3 linked regions of the Notamacropus eugenii genome follow. The protein of the gene in region 1 interacts with the protein of each later gene in a pairwise test. Links are inferred from orthologs where the notes say so. Each region holds a gene or a part of one and is shown on either strand. Other genes may lie near its edges. The genes, in order: phospholipid scramblase 2-like, EWSR1 and CCER1.

Region 1 (3,744 bases):
GTTCAGCCCTTGGTACATAGCAGGTGACCAACAAACGATAGTGGAAAGCTTCAAGGTTTTCTAACTAATCCTGATTTCACTCTTCTCACTAATCCCATCACACATCCATTTCAAATGTCCCTTTATTTCTTATCTTCAAGCCTTTGCCCAAGCAGGCTTGAGTACTGGGAATGAACTCCTGGCCAAAATGTAAGAAGCACCATGCTTCCTGACTTGGAGTCAGGAAATCCAGCCTCAGGCACCTAGCTGCATCTGGACAAGGCAGTCATCTTCTCAGGCTCAATTCCTTCATCTGTAAAATGAAGGAGTGGACCCTTTTAGGTCCTTTCCATCTCCTTCCTCCTATGATGGTTTATCTTCCTTTGAATCAGAGCTCCAACTCAGTTTCCTTCAATAGTATTCCAGGTCTATAGAAAACCTGCCCACGTGTGTCATTCCCTCCTATTGATATGAATCGCTCCAATTCACAGGCAAAAATTCAAGCTTCCCTCTTCTCTCCATTAGAAGGTGTTTCCAGTACCGTTAGGAAAGCAGCGTATACATGAGTGCCTCTTTTCACGATGACCATCAATTGATGTCTCAACATTGAATTTTATCTTAGACTTTGGAAAGGAATAGAGGTAACTACATTATTTTATGTAACATAAAAACAGAAGGAAGAAATGAAAAGTAGAGGGAACTGTCGTTCATCTCTCGTTCTTGAAGAGGACCAATGACGTCAGGAAGGTGAGTAAGGCAAGGCTGTGCAGTCACCAGCCTCACTCAAAAGGGAAGGGATACGGTTTATGAAAGTATGTTTTCAAAAGGACGTCTCCCTAGTGGTTCAATTGTATTGCAAGGGCGGAGACTGCTGGTTAGCAGCTTCTAGTTCCCTGGTTCGTTTTTCTTTTCTTTTTTTCTGTTTCCGCCGGTGGAGGACATTTAATCACAGTTCAAGAGTGAAGCCAGAAGATTAGATTCAGGTAGGTAAGTGTATGAGGGTGGAAACACCGCATCTGGGTCCACACAAGAGAACTCAGTGGGAAATACGTCTTTAGCTGTCATTCGTTTTCTGTTAGTGTTTTAGAGAGAAAGAGAGGGAGAGAGGGAGGAAGGGAGGGAGGGAGGGAGGGAGGAGAGAGAGAGAGAGAGAGAGAGAGAGAGAGAGAGAGAGAGAGAGAGAGAGAGAGAGAGAGAGAGAGAGAGAATGAGAGAGAGAGAGAGACAGAGACAGAGAGAGAGAGAGAGACAGAGACAGAGACAGAGACAGAGACAGACAGAGAGACAGAGACAGAGACAGAGAGAGACAGAGAGACAGACAGAGACAGAGAGACAGAGACAGAGAGAGACAGAGAGAGAAAGAGACGGGAGACAGAGAGGGGAGACAGAGAGGGGAGACAGTTGGGGGAGAGAGAGTCTACAGGTCGGATTCGAAGTGGAGTGAGCCGGAAGCCCCTCAATTCAGGGAGAGGGGAAGCAAGGGGAGGGGGTGGAGTGTGTCTGCTGCTCGGCTTTATTAGAGATCCTTGTGGGATTCCTGGGCTCGGTTGAGGGTGGGAAGGGGAAGTTGTCCCTCTGGACGTCTGGAGTGCAGGGGGAGGGGATGGATTTAGGGAGTGCGGGACAAGAGGAGGGTAGGAAGTGGTAGGTGTGGGACGTGACCTGAAGGTTGCCGGTCTTGAGTTCTGGTTATCTTTGGAGGCAAGAATGCCAGAGTAGTATGAGAACGATTGTGCTTGGAAAAATAAGGAACAGAAACAAGAAAAAAGAGACCGAAAGTTAAAAAGAAATAGTGAGTCTCCTGTAGCAAAAAGCCTGGATGAACGGCTGGCTGGCTGGCTGCTTACTGGAGTAGCTGAGCTGGTCTTTCCAAAATTGTGCAATCCCTAATCAAATATCTGAGCAGGAAAGAAAAGCATAGTATATGTAAACCAACTCGCACAGGAAAAATAAACTCCTCCATGCATACCTAACAAATGCTTCCCGAAGCCTGGAGCATGCAGAGGTTAATTAAAAAGAGGACAGAGGGCTTACGGCCTCCCAACCCCCAGAGACAGCCAACTGCAAGCTCTCATCTGAGAAAGTTGTGCAGTATTTTCTTTTGTCGCTGTAGCTTGGTCCTTATGCAGCGATGTCCAGCTCTTCATGACCCCATTTAGACTTTTCTTGTCAAAGATACTAGGGTGGCCTGCCATTTCTTTCTCCAGCTCATTTTACAGATGAGGAAAGGGAGGCATACAGAGTTTAGTGACTTGCCCAAGGTCACTCAGCTTGTAAGTGTCTGAGGGCCATCTGAGCTCAGGAAGATGAGTCTTCCTGACTCCAGGCCCTAAACTCCTTTCACTATACCACCTTTTTTCTCCTTAACCTACAGCTAAAATCTGCCACTCCAACTTCCAGTCAGTCAACAGTTTATTAAAACAGTCACTATATCAAGGTTCTATGCTAACAGCAAAGCAAAGAAAGACAAAAACAGTTTCTGTCCTAAGGATCTCATAAAGTACTAGAGAGAACACCATGCAAATAGATACAGAAGATATAATAAAGGCCAAAGGGGAACTTAGAGAGGAAGGCACTAGAACTCTGGGGAGGAACCAGGAAGGACTCCTTCAGAATGGGGGATTTTAGCTGAGTGAAGTTAGTGGAAAACTAGGAGATGGAGGTAAAGAGGTAGAGAATTTCAGAACTGGAGTTCACCCAGGAGACTGAACAAGGATTGGCTTTACTGCTCTACTAATTCTGAATGGAAGAAGTGTGATGCCTCTTCCCCTTGAATTTGTGCTACTTTGTCCAGTTAAGAGTCCTGGAATAAGGACCAAGGAAAAGTCATCTGGACGTACAACAAACAATTCCATTTTCTCATCCAAGGAAGTCAGGAAGGAACTAAGAAGAAAGGGGCAAAAAGGAAGGAAAGAAAAAGAGTAAGAAAGAAAGAAAGAGGAAAAAAGGAAAGAAAGAAGGAAGGAAAACTAAAATTATTTACTGAAAACTTCTTATGTGCTATTAGGGAAATGTGGAATGGTATGGAATACTCTCTCAAATGGCATAGTATACAATCCCTGCTGGTACAGAGTTAATATAGTCCAATTGTCCGTATGTTTTCATTTATTTTTTAATGATTCCTGGAAATCTTGGTATACTCATCCTCCTTTTCCAAGAACAGCCTTTCCTGTAGTCTTGGGAATTTTGTTTTGTTTCTGTCAGGGCTGTTTAGAGAACAATGATTCATTCAATGAGCCTTGCTCAGACAGAAGCAGTCAGTAAAAGCATCCACAGGTAATTTGTTTTCTTAATAGCAGAAGTTCCCTCTAATAGTATTTAGGTTTTCTCAGGATTATTGAGAAGGAAAAAAAGTAAATATCCACTAAGGATTAGAAGAGAGGAAAAAAGGAAAATTATTTATTCTCTTCATTGGCTAATAAGTTTACATAACTGGTTAATATACTTCATTGGTTAATACATTTATAAAAATAAACTTAAATTGGTTAATACACTGAACTTCCATATTTAATCAGTTTCCAGATGTGGAAGAGAATTGCTTTGCATAAAGCACCAACCAAAACCAAAATAAAAATATTTCAGGACACATTGGAAACCAAAATGAACTCACAGAGCCCAGATCATGTCTCTTTCCATCAACAATTTATTTCAGGATTATAAAATCATCATTTCAGCTCTGGAAGAGGTCAGTGTCTTATCCAACCACCTTATTTTACAAATGAAGGGACTGAGGACAAGGGAAACTAAGTAACTAGCCCAAGCTAA
Region 2 (3,744 bases), on another chromosome or scaffold:
ACTTTTAGGGACTTAGTTACCCACCCAATGCTCCTATACCGAATGAATTCAATCAAGGACAAGTATATCTTTAGATTAGCTATCAAAATCAAATACTACATGCTGCAGGAGAGAAGGAGAAGCTTTCAAAATCTACTTCCCCCCTTTCTCTAGGTTTTGGCAGGAGCAATTCCTCTTCGAAAGGCATGAAGGAGAAATGTAGGTAGAGTGCAAAGAAAAACACTTTCCCATTCTTTGTGCATTTCACACAAAGGTTTCTTTCTAGGGTCACTCCCATCTTACTTAGGTCTGTATCTAAAGACCCAGGTTTTATTGTTCAACGGAGGGATAGAAGCCAGAAGCCAGAGTGCCTCAGGGCAGTATCTAATAGGGGGCAGAGACCTAAGTAGGGTAACGTCCTCTCAGTTCCCTCCCACAACCATTAAGTTTAAGAGGCTCCAAATACCCCCAGGAAATAAAACAAATTCATGGAAAGTTGGAGGGAACAGCTAATTACATTTGAATTGGCTTATTCCTAAATGCATGAAATCCTTCACAGCAATTACATCTTAAACTAATGCATAGAGCTTAATAAGTCAACAACTTTCCTTAAGCCCAAAAGCTAGCTAAAAGATTCTCTCGTCATACACTTAATCAACCCAGGTTTTCCAACAATCCTGGAAGCCAAAAAGTACAAATATTACTTAGCCATAATTCAAGATAAGTCCTGCCTTTTGTTCTTTTTAGGTCAGAGATTCCGAATAATCCACGGAAACACCATTAAGTTGAGCTACCTAGATACATGGCTCTGGGTACCTCTACCTATCTACGAATTTGCTAATTTCAAAAAAACAAATTAGCGGAAAAGATAACGCAAAGTTCTTCTAATAACAGAAAACTGTGGAGACAGTTTACATTTCAGAGCAGATCCCTTCCAACTCCAGTCCAACAAGATTTTACCGTTGTTTCACTCTAACGCCCAGAGACGGTAGGGCCAGCGGACTCCGTCTCTCAGAACCGCCTGAAGGCCCACGAAGGCACTCCAGGGGTTCTAAAGTCACAGTCTCTCCCAAAGGCAGCACGATCCCAGCTCCCTTTCAAAATCTGGGCAAACGAACAAGTCGCTTCCCCTCGTCCAGAACTGCGAGCTCAGCACTTCCCCTTCCAGCTTACTTCTGAGAGCGTCCGCCAGCCCAGGATTAAAAGGCCCGAAGCGGCCCCTCGGGCCCCCTCCCGTCCAGACCACGGATCCCAGGAGAGCAGCCGAGAGCAGGGCAGACAAAGGCCTCGCGGACTCGTGGCTGGAGGGGCCAAGCCGCTCTAAGCCCTCCCTTCCCGGGCTCAGGGGGTCCCGCGGCGGCCGCCCCCCCAGGGCGTTCCTCGAGGGCAGGGGCTGGGCTTGGCTTACCGGCCATAGCGGCCCAGACCGGAGGGGGAGGTCTCGCCGCCTCGGCCTGCCTCAGTTTCCTCCGCTGTAACGGGCAGGTTCCGGCCGCCGCGGGGCGGCAGGTGACAGGTCCTCCGCTAACGCCCCCAGCCCCGTCCCGCCCCCGGGGAACCCCTTCGGAGGCAGCTCCCCGCCCGGAGGCGCCCTCCCACCGGCATCAGGGCGGCTCCGGGGCATCAGCGGAGCAAACGGCGCCTGCCCTCGAGGAGCGGCCACTCGCAGGGCGTGGCGGCTGCGGGTCCCGGCAGGGGCCGGCCCACGTGGCGGGAAGTGCGCGCGGGCCGCGGGGAGGCCTCTCCCGGGGACACAATGGAAGCGGCGGCGGGCGGACGACGGCGGCCCGGCCGGGCCAACGCGAACCCGGGCGCGAAGCGGCGGGAGCGGGAGCGCGCGCGCACGGCCGCCCCCCTCCCTCCCGCCGCGCGCCCCCGCCGTCGCCGCGCGCCCCCCGCCCCCGCCGCGAACGAGCCGAGGCCCCCACCCGGCCCGCTCCCCGCCCACCCGCCCGCGCGCCGGGAAGGGGGAGGGGGGCGGCGGAAGGTTCCAGAATCCCACCCGCCCGCGGCGGGGAGGGGGAGGGGGAAGGGAAGAAGGGCGAAGGTAGGCCCCAAGCCCGCCCCGCGGCCCGGCCGCGCAGCGCCGCCTCCACCCGCCGCCCCCCAGGCCCCGAGAAGACCCCCGCGGTGGCGCCCCCAACCCCGAAGGCCTCAGCTCCCTCGGCTGCCGGCACGGCGTGCCCTGGGGCCCCGGCGCCATACTCACCCGTGGACGCCATTTTCTCTCCTTCCTCCTCCTCGTTCTCTCAACGTCCGTCTCTCTCTCCCTCGGTCGCTTGCCCTCTCGGCGCCGCACTGCGCAGGCGCGGACCGCACAACCTCGGGCTCTACCACTAGGATTGGTCCGCGGGGGGGGAGGGGAAGAGGCGAAGGAGACGGAGAGAGGCGAGGGGAGGGCTTTCCGACCCAACTCTCGCCTCAGTCGGGAGGGGGTGGGGTCGGGAGGCTGGGGGCGTCTAAGTATCTCCTGAAGCGCCACGAACCGCCCCTACGAACGAGCCCTGGGGGCGGGGCGGTCACCGATCCTACTCCCCAACGGGGCATAGATTGGAAGAATGGTTCCGTCCTGGGTTTGTTAGGGACCGTCCCACAATAGTCCTCCCCGAGGAAAAACGAAGACGAGCCGGAGCGTTGGGGGAAGGGATCCTGGGGCCGTGGCACAACTGCTGACTAATCGTGGAGGGGGGAGTCTGGAGGGGGGGCCAGGTTGGGACCCGCTCCGCCAGAGGGAGAGCCACGTGGCTGGCCCGGGCTTCGATGGCACTTGGCGTATCAGTTTCCGAGTCTTGAAATGGCCGGGGGTCTTTGTACCCTTGGCTCTGGAAGTCTGGGTTTGACCCCCCAGCCTCCTGCCCCTCCAAGGGGCATCGACTCCCCCTCCCGGAGAGCTGACCTTGGGAGGGCCCAGCCCCTCCATGCCCCACTTTACAGATGAGGAAACTGAGGCCCAGAGGGGACAAGGGACTGGCCCGAGTCCGCCCAGGGGGCCCGACCCGGACAAAAGAGGAAACCCATAAGGGGACTGGCTTGTCCAGACCGTCAGTATTTGAACTCAGACCCCACCCCAAGCCTATCTCCAAATGCATGGATCCTCTGCCTGATCTGGGTTCAAAGTTTCAGCCGGTCGCCGGACCTCTTTTAGTCCAGCCCCTTCACTTTACAGTAGAGGGAGCTGAGGTCCGGAGAAGAACTCGCAGCCAGTCCATAGGATCCTCTTGGACACATACTATTCTGATCCACGCGGTACAGTGGAAAGTGTCCGACGTGAAGTCAAATCTAGGATGCTTTGTGTGACCTTGACAAATTGTCCGACCTTTCTCACCTGTAAAATGCAGGCTGGAGAATTGGATTAGATGCCTTCTGGGGTTCCTGCCAGCACTCAATTTTTAAATTTAAGTAAAATTTGATTTTTTTCAATGAACAAAAATTCGCCTTGTCTCTGTCTCCTGCCCTGTTGAAAAAGAAAACCCTTGTAACAAATTCTATTTATTCATTGTCTTTTGAGAGATGTAAGCCGTCTCCACATTTTAAAAATTGCTTTTAGCGATACCTTTTGGTTTTGCTATCACCTACATTTCCCCCCATATCTTTTGTCCTCAACCTGAGAGACATGCCTTGTAACCAAAAAAGTATATATAGATTTTTTGAAGAGGAAGAGAAAAAAAGGCAAAGCCAATCACTGCACGAAAAGAACTCGATGCTATTTCCATCCTTCTTCACTCATAGACCTTTACCCCTCTCCAGCATATTCACAATAAGATC
Region 3 (3,744 bases), on another chromosome or scaffold:
GTTTGCATATGCATATATTATATAATGTTATATGCATATACACATACATATATTACATATCATATAAATATAATTATATATGTATTACATATAGTACATATAACATGTTATAACAAATTATAATCATAATATAAGATATATAATATATATTTAAATTACATACATATTATATTATAATTACAATAATATGGTATACAACTATAATAATATAATAGATGTATAAAATACTTTAGTTAAAACAAAAGTGTCCTATAAAGCAATTACCACCACACTCCCGGTTTGGGGCCTCCCTCCCTCCTTGTCCCTACTGTTCCTTGCACACAAACACCACTAATGCTTTTAATCACCTTACAATTTTATCAAGGAGGGGTGCGCATAGATAATATTTATTCATGGAACTCACTTTTATATTAGATTTTTTAGATGCTAATTTCATTTTAACCCAACAGTCAGTTCCATCCCGTTGCTCCTGCCCTCTCAGTCTAACACAGCACCTTCTTCACAATCATGGGGAATCTCTCTTGAAGCTTCTGGAAGATTCTCCCCTCCCGGGTCAGAAACTCATAGTTCAGAAGGTGCTCCGGCTCCTCTGCTCCCGGGGCTCCAGGGCCGGCGGGAGGGCTGGGCGGGGGGTTCTGATCCTCCTCCTCGGAGTCCTCCTCCTCCTCTTCCTCTTCTTCCTCTCTCAGCTCTTCCTCCTCTGATTCATCCTCTTCCTCTCCGTACTGCTCCTCCTCCTCCTCCTCATTCTCCTCCTCCTCTTCTTCCTCCTCCTCCTCCTCCTCTTCTTCTTCTTTCTCTTCCTCTTCCTCCTCTTCTTCTTCCTCCTCCTCCTCCTCGTCCTTCTCCTCCTCCTCTTCGTCGTCTTCCCCATCCTCCTCCTCTATTCCCTCCCTCTGCAGAGGAAGGCAGAGCGCGTGCCTCCGGTGCTGGTCCTCCTGGCCATCATCCTCCTGGTCCTCCTGGTCCTCGTCCTCCTGGTCCTCGTCCTCGTCCTCCTGGTCCTCGTCCTCCTCGTCCTCCTGGTCCTCGTCCTCCTCGTCCTCCTGGTCTTCCCGGTCCTCGTCCTCGTCCTGCTCCCCGGCGGTCGCGGGGCCGGGCACGAGGCAGCAGAGCCGCTTCTGCACAAAGCTGTAGAAGGTCTCCTGCAGCAGCCTCATCTCCTCGTCCTCTTCGGCCCTGCTGTGAACGGGCTGGAGCGCTGCACTGCACTCTGGAGGGACCGATGCTGCGTCTGCTGCTGCTGCCGCCGCTGAGGCTGCGGCTGCGGCCTGCCTGGCCCGCAGGGCCTCCTGCTGGCGCTCCTGCTTCTCCTGCTTGCGCATGTCCTCGTAGACCTGGTTCATGATGAACTGCGTGGTGTTGCGCGGGGCTCGCATGCCGGGCGCCCGGCGGCCGTACAGGTTGACCGGGCGCAGCAGGGCGCTCAGGTCCACGGGCGGGCCGCTGTGCAGTGGGCGCCGGGGATGGCCACGCCGCACGCCCCTGCCCTTCCTTCCCCAGCGCTTCTTCTTCTTCTTGGGGTAGATGCGCCCCGGGCCGGGCTGGTCGGGCGCGTTCCAGCAGGAGCAGCAGCATGGACAGGGAGGCCTCAGTCCGTACACCCGCACCACCTGCACACCGCTCGGCGGCCTCCAAACTTCCACTGGTGGGCAGCGCCACGGAGAGGGGGTCCAGCAGCCCCTGGGGCCCCAGCAGCTGGGGCTGGCCAGGCGCTCTGGGCGCCGCTGCGCATGGGGCCACCGTGGGCCCGACTCATGCTGGTGCTTCGCCTGCTTTCGCAGCTCCTGGTACTCCAGCTTGGGGCCAGAGCGGTGGCGCCTTCGGAACATCGAGGTGCTCCTCCGCCGGCGGTGGCACGGGGACCAAGGAGGGAGAGGAGACGGAGAGGACCAGCCGCCGCCCAGGTTCAGCGGGTCTGCCCGTCGGTCAAGGGCCAGGGCCATGCCTTCTTCCCACAGCTGTCTCGTTGAGGGCTGTAGATGATGCTGGTGGACCCCAACCCTGCGAGAGCGGGGCCACAGGGCGAAGAGGGGTTGACCCCCGAAGATCTTGGGTGGCACCTGCACCTTGCACCTGGAGACGCCGCTTTCGCCCCACGTGGGCCTGCCCTCTGCGATCTGGTCTTCTCTCCAAAAGGCCCTTTTGCCTTGCGCTCGTCCTTCTAGCCTTCTTTCTCCCTGACTTCTTTATTTTCCCTCCTCTTTGCCTTCGCACCTGAGAAGTTACCTCTCCCAGGCTAGATGATGGATGGATGGATGAATGGGTGTATAGATGGATGGATGGAAGGGTGGGTGTATGGATGAATGAATGGATGGGTGGGTGGGGCAAGGGGGGCTGAGTAAGGATGGTCGGGGGGAGGGGAGTTTATTGGTGAGCTACGCGCTGTGAGCCCCGCTTCCCGTTCCCTCACAAACCCGTCTCCGCAGTAATGCGGGGGTGGGGGTTGGGGGTGGGCCGGGGGAGCGCGTTACCTTGCTGCACCCTCTCTCAGCTCAGGTGCCAGTGTGGTCGCCGGTCCAGGCCGGACTGAGGGGGGCGCGGGGCCGGAGCTGCTTCAAATACCGGCCGGGGGCCCCGCGTGCCCACAGCGTCCCTGGTTACTCCTGGCAACAGCCAATCAGAGGGCTGGATTGTGCTCCCAGTGTGTGAAGCCGAGGTTCGGCCGCAGAACTAGGGGTTGTATGAGTATTCTCTAGGGGCTTGTGACGCAGCTGGGGGCAAGGGGGTCTAAGGAGAGGGGCAGGTAATGAGGGCTGGGTTGGCTACTCAGAAGGAGCTCAAATTCCAGAGTTCCTTAGACTAGGTTTTTGGGGGCTCTGGAAAGGGGGGAAGGACAGGATTGGCCCTCAGGAGTTTAAAGAGCTCTGGAGATGGTCAGATTTAGAACCTCGAGTAAACTTAAAAAATCTTAGAAATGGAAGGAAGCTTAGGAGATCATCTGGTACCTACACCAACACCCCTTTCATTTTACAGATTCAGAAACTGAGGCCCAGTGAGGAGGAAGTGACTTGCCCAGGGTCACACAGCTAGTAAGAAGCAGAGCTGAAATTCATAGGAAGTTTGTCTAATACTAAATTCAATATTCTTCCCAATATGCCAGGTCACTTCCTTCATTTAATCAACCCCATCTATCAATTTTAGGAAACCAACTCAGAGAGACTGAGTGGTATCAATTGACAAAACATGTATTTCAACTTACTTTGGTCAAGGTACCTTCCGAGACCTTATGTACCACCACAAGCTGAGTGGGTTTTTGTTTTTGTTTAGTTTAGTTTAGTTTAATTTAGTTTAGTTTAGTTTAGTTTTAGTTTTGGTTTTCGCTTTGTTTTGTTTTTTCAGGCAGTCTAGCCACATGAATCAAAATGACCACTGCCTATCCTTTTACTGTGCTTGATAAATGCTTCTTTCACTCATTCATTGAGTCACTGTGAGTTAATTAAAGAAACTGAACTCACAAAGCCATTTCACTCATCCATTTAGATATTAGGATTCAAATCTGCAGCCTCTTTTTGCCCTATGGTAGCAAAAGTCAATTAAACCTTACTCTGCCAATTCGGAGCTGTGGCTTGCAATCCCAAAAGGTTGATGTATTTCTCAGAATCACTTATTTGCAGGGATAAGAGGAACGTTGCAAGAACAGAACATGACCTGCTGAGAACGCTGGTTTCTACAAGCCTTCATTAAATCAAGAAAGAGCATAGTGAGTAGGAAATGTGCAGTCTGCTGAGATCACTCTTTTAA

Evidence for each region.
Region 2: the proteins of phospholipid scramblase 2-like (region 1) and EWSR1 interact in binary tests that used the Homo sapiens proteins (3 or more experiments, as listed by UniProt). The two-hybrid records come from large-scale screens. The link is inferred for Notamacropus eugenii from reciprocal best matches to the Homo sapiens genes PLSCR1 and EWSR1.
Region 3: the proteins of phospholipid scramblase 2-like (region 1) and CCER1 interact in a two-hybrid assay, tested with the Homo sapiens proteins (2 studies listed by BioGRID and IntAct). The two-hybrid records come from large-scale screens. The link is inferred for Notamacropus eugenii from reciprocal best matches to the Homo sapiens genes PLSCR1 and CCER1.

Annotation. Positions count from the first base shown.
Region 1 is NC_092877.1:335,160,578-335,164,321, reverse strand, and holds the start of phospholipid scramblase 2-like, read left to right. Parts: upstream 1-880; 5' UTR 881-962; exon of another isoform or gene 963-966; intron 967-3,494; 5' UTR 3,495-3,601; coding exon 3,602-3,664; intron 3,665-3,744. UniProt on the Homo sapiens protein: Catalyzes calcium-induced ATP-independent rapid bidirectional and non-specific movement of phospholipids (lipid scrambling or lipid flip-flop) between the inner and outer leaflet of the plasma membrane resulting in collapse of the phospholipid asymmetry which leads to phosphatidylserine externalization on the cell surface.
Region 2 is NC_092875.1:16,382,361-16,386,104, forward strand, and holds the start of EWSR1 (RNA-binding protein EWS), read right to left. Parts: upstream 2,286-3,744; 5' UTR 2,202-2,285; coding exon 2,189-2,201; intron 1,792-2,188; exon of another isoform or gene 1,395-1,791; coding exon of another isoform or gene 1,388-1,394; intron 1-1,387. UniProt on the Homo sapiens protein: Binds to ssRNA containing the consensus sequence 5'-AGGUAA-3'. Might normally function as a transcriptional repressor. EWS-fusion-proteins (EFPS) may play a role in the tumorigenic process.
Region 3 is NC_092874.1:273,284,084-273,287,827, forward strand, and holds CCER1 (coiled-coil domain-containing glutamate-rich protein 1), read right to left. Parts: upstream 2,559-3,744; 5' UTR 1,947-2,558; coding exon 483-1,946; 3' UTR 375-482; downstream 1-374. UniProt on the Homo sapiens protein: Regulator of histone epigenetic modifications and chromatin compaction into the sperm head, required for histone-to-protamine (HTP) transition.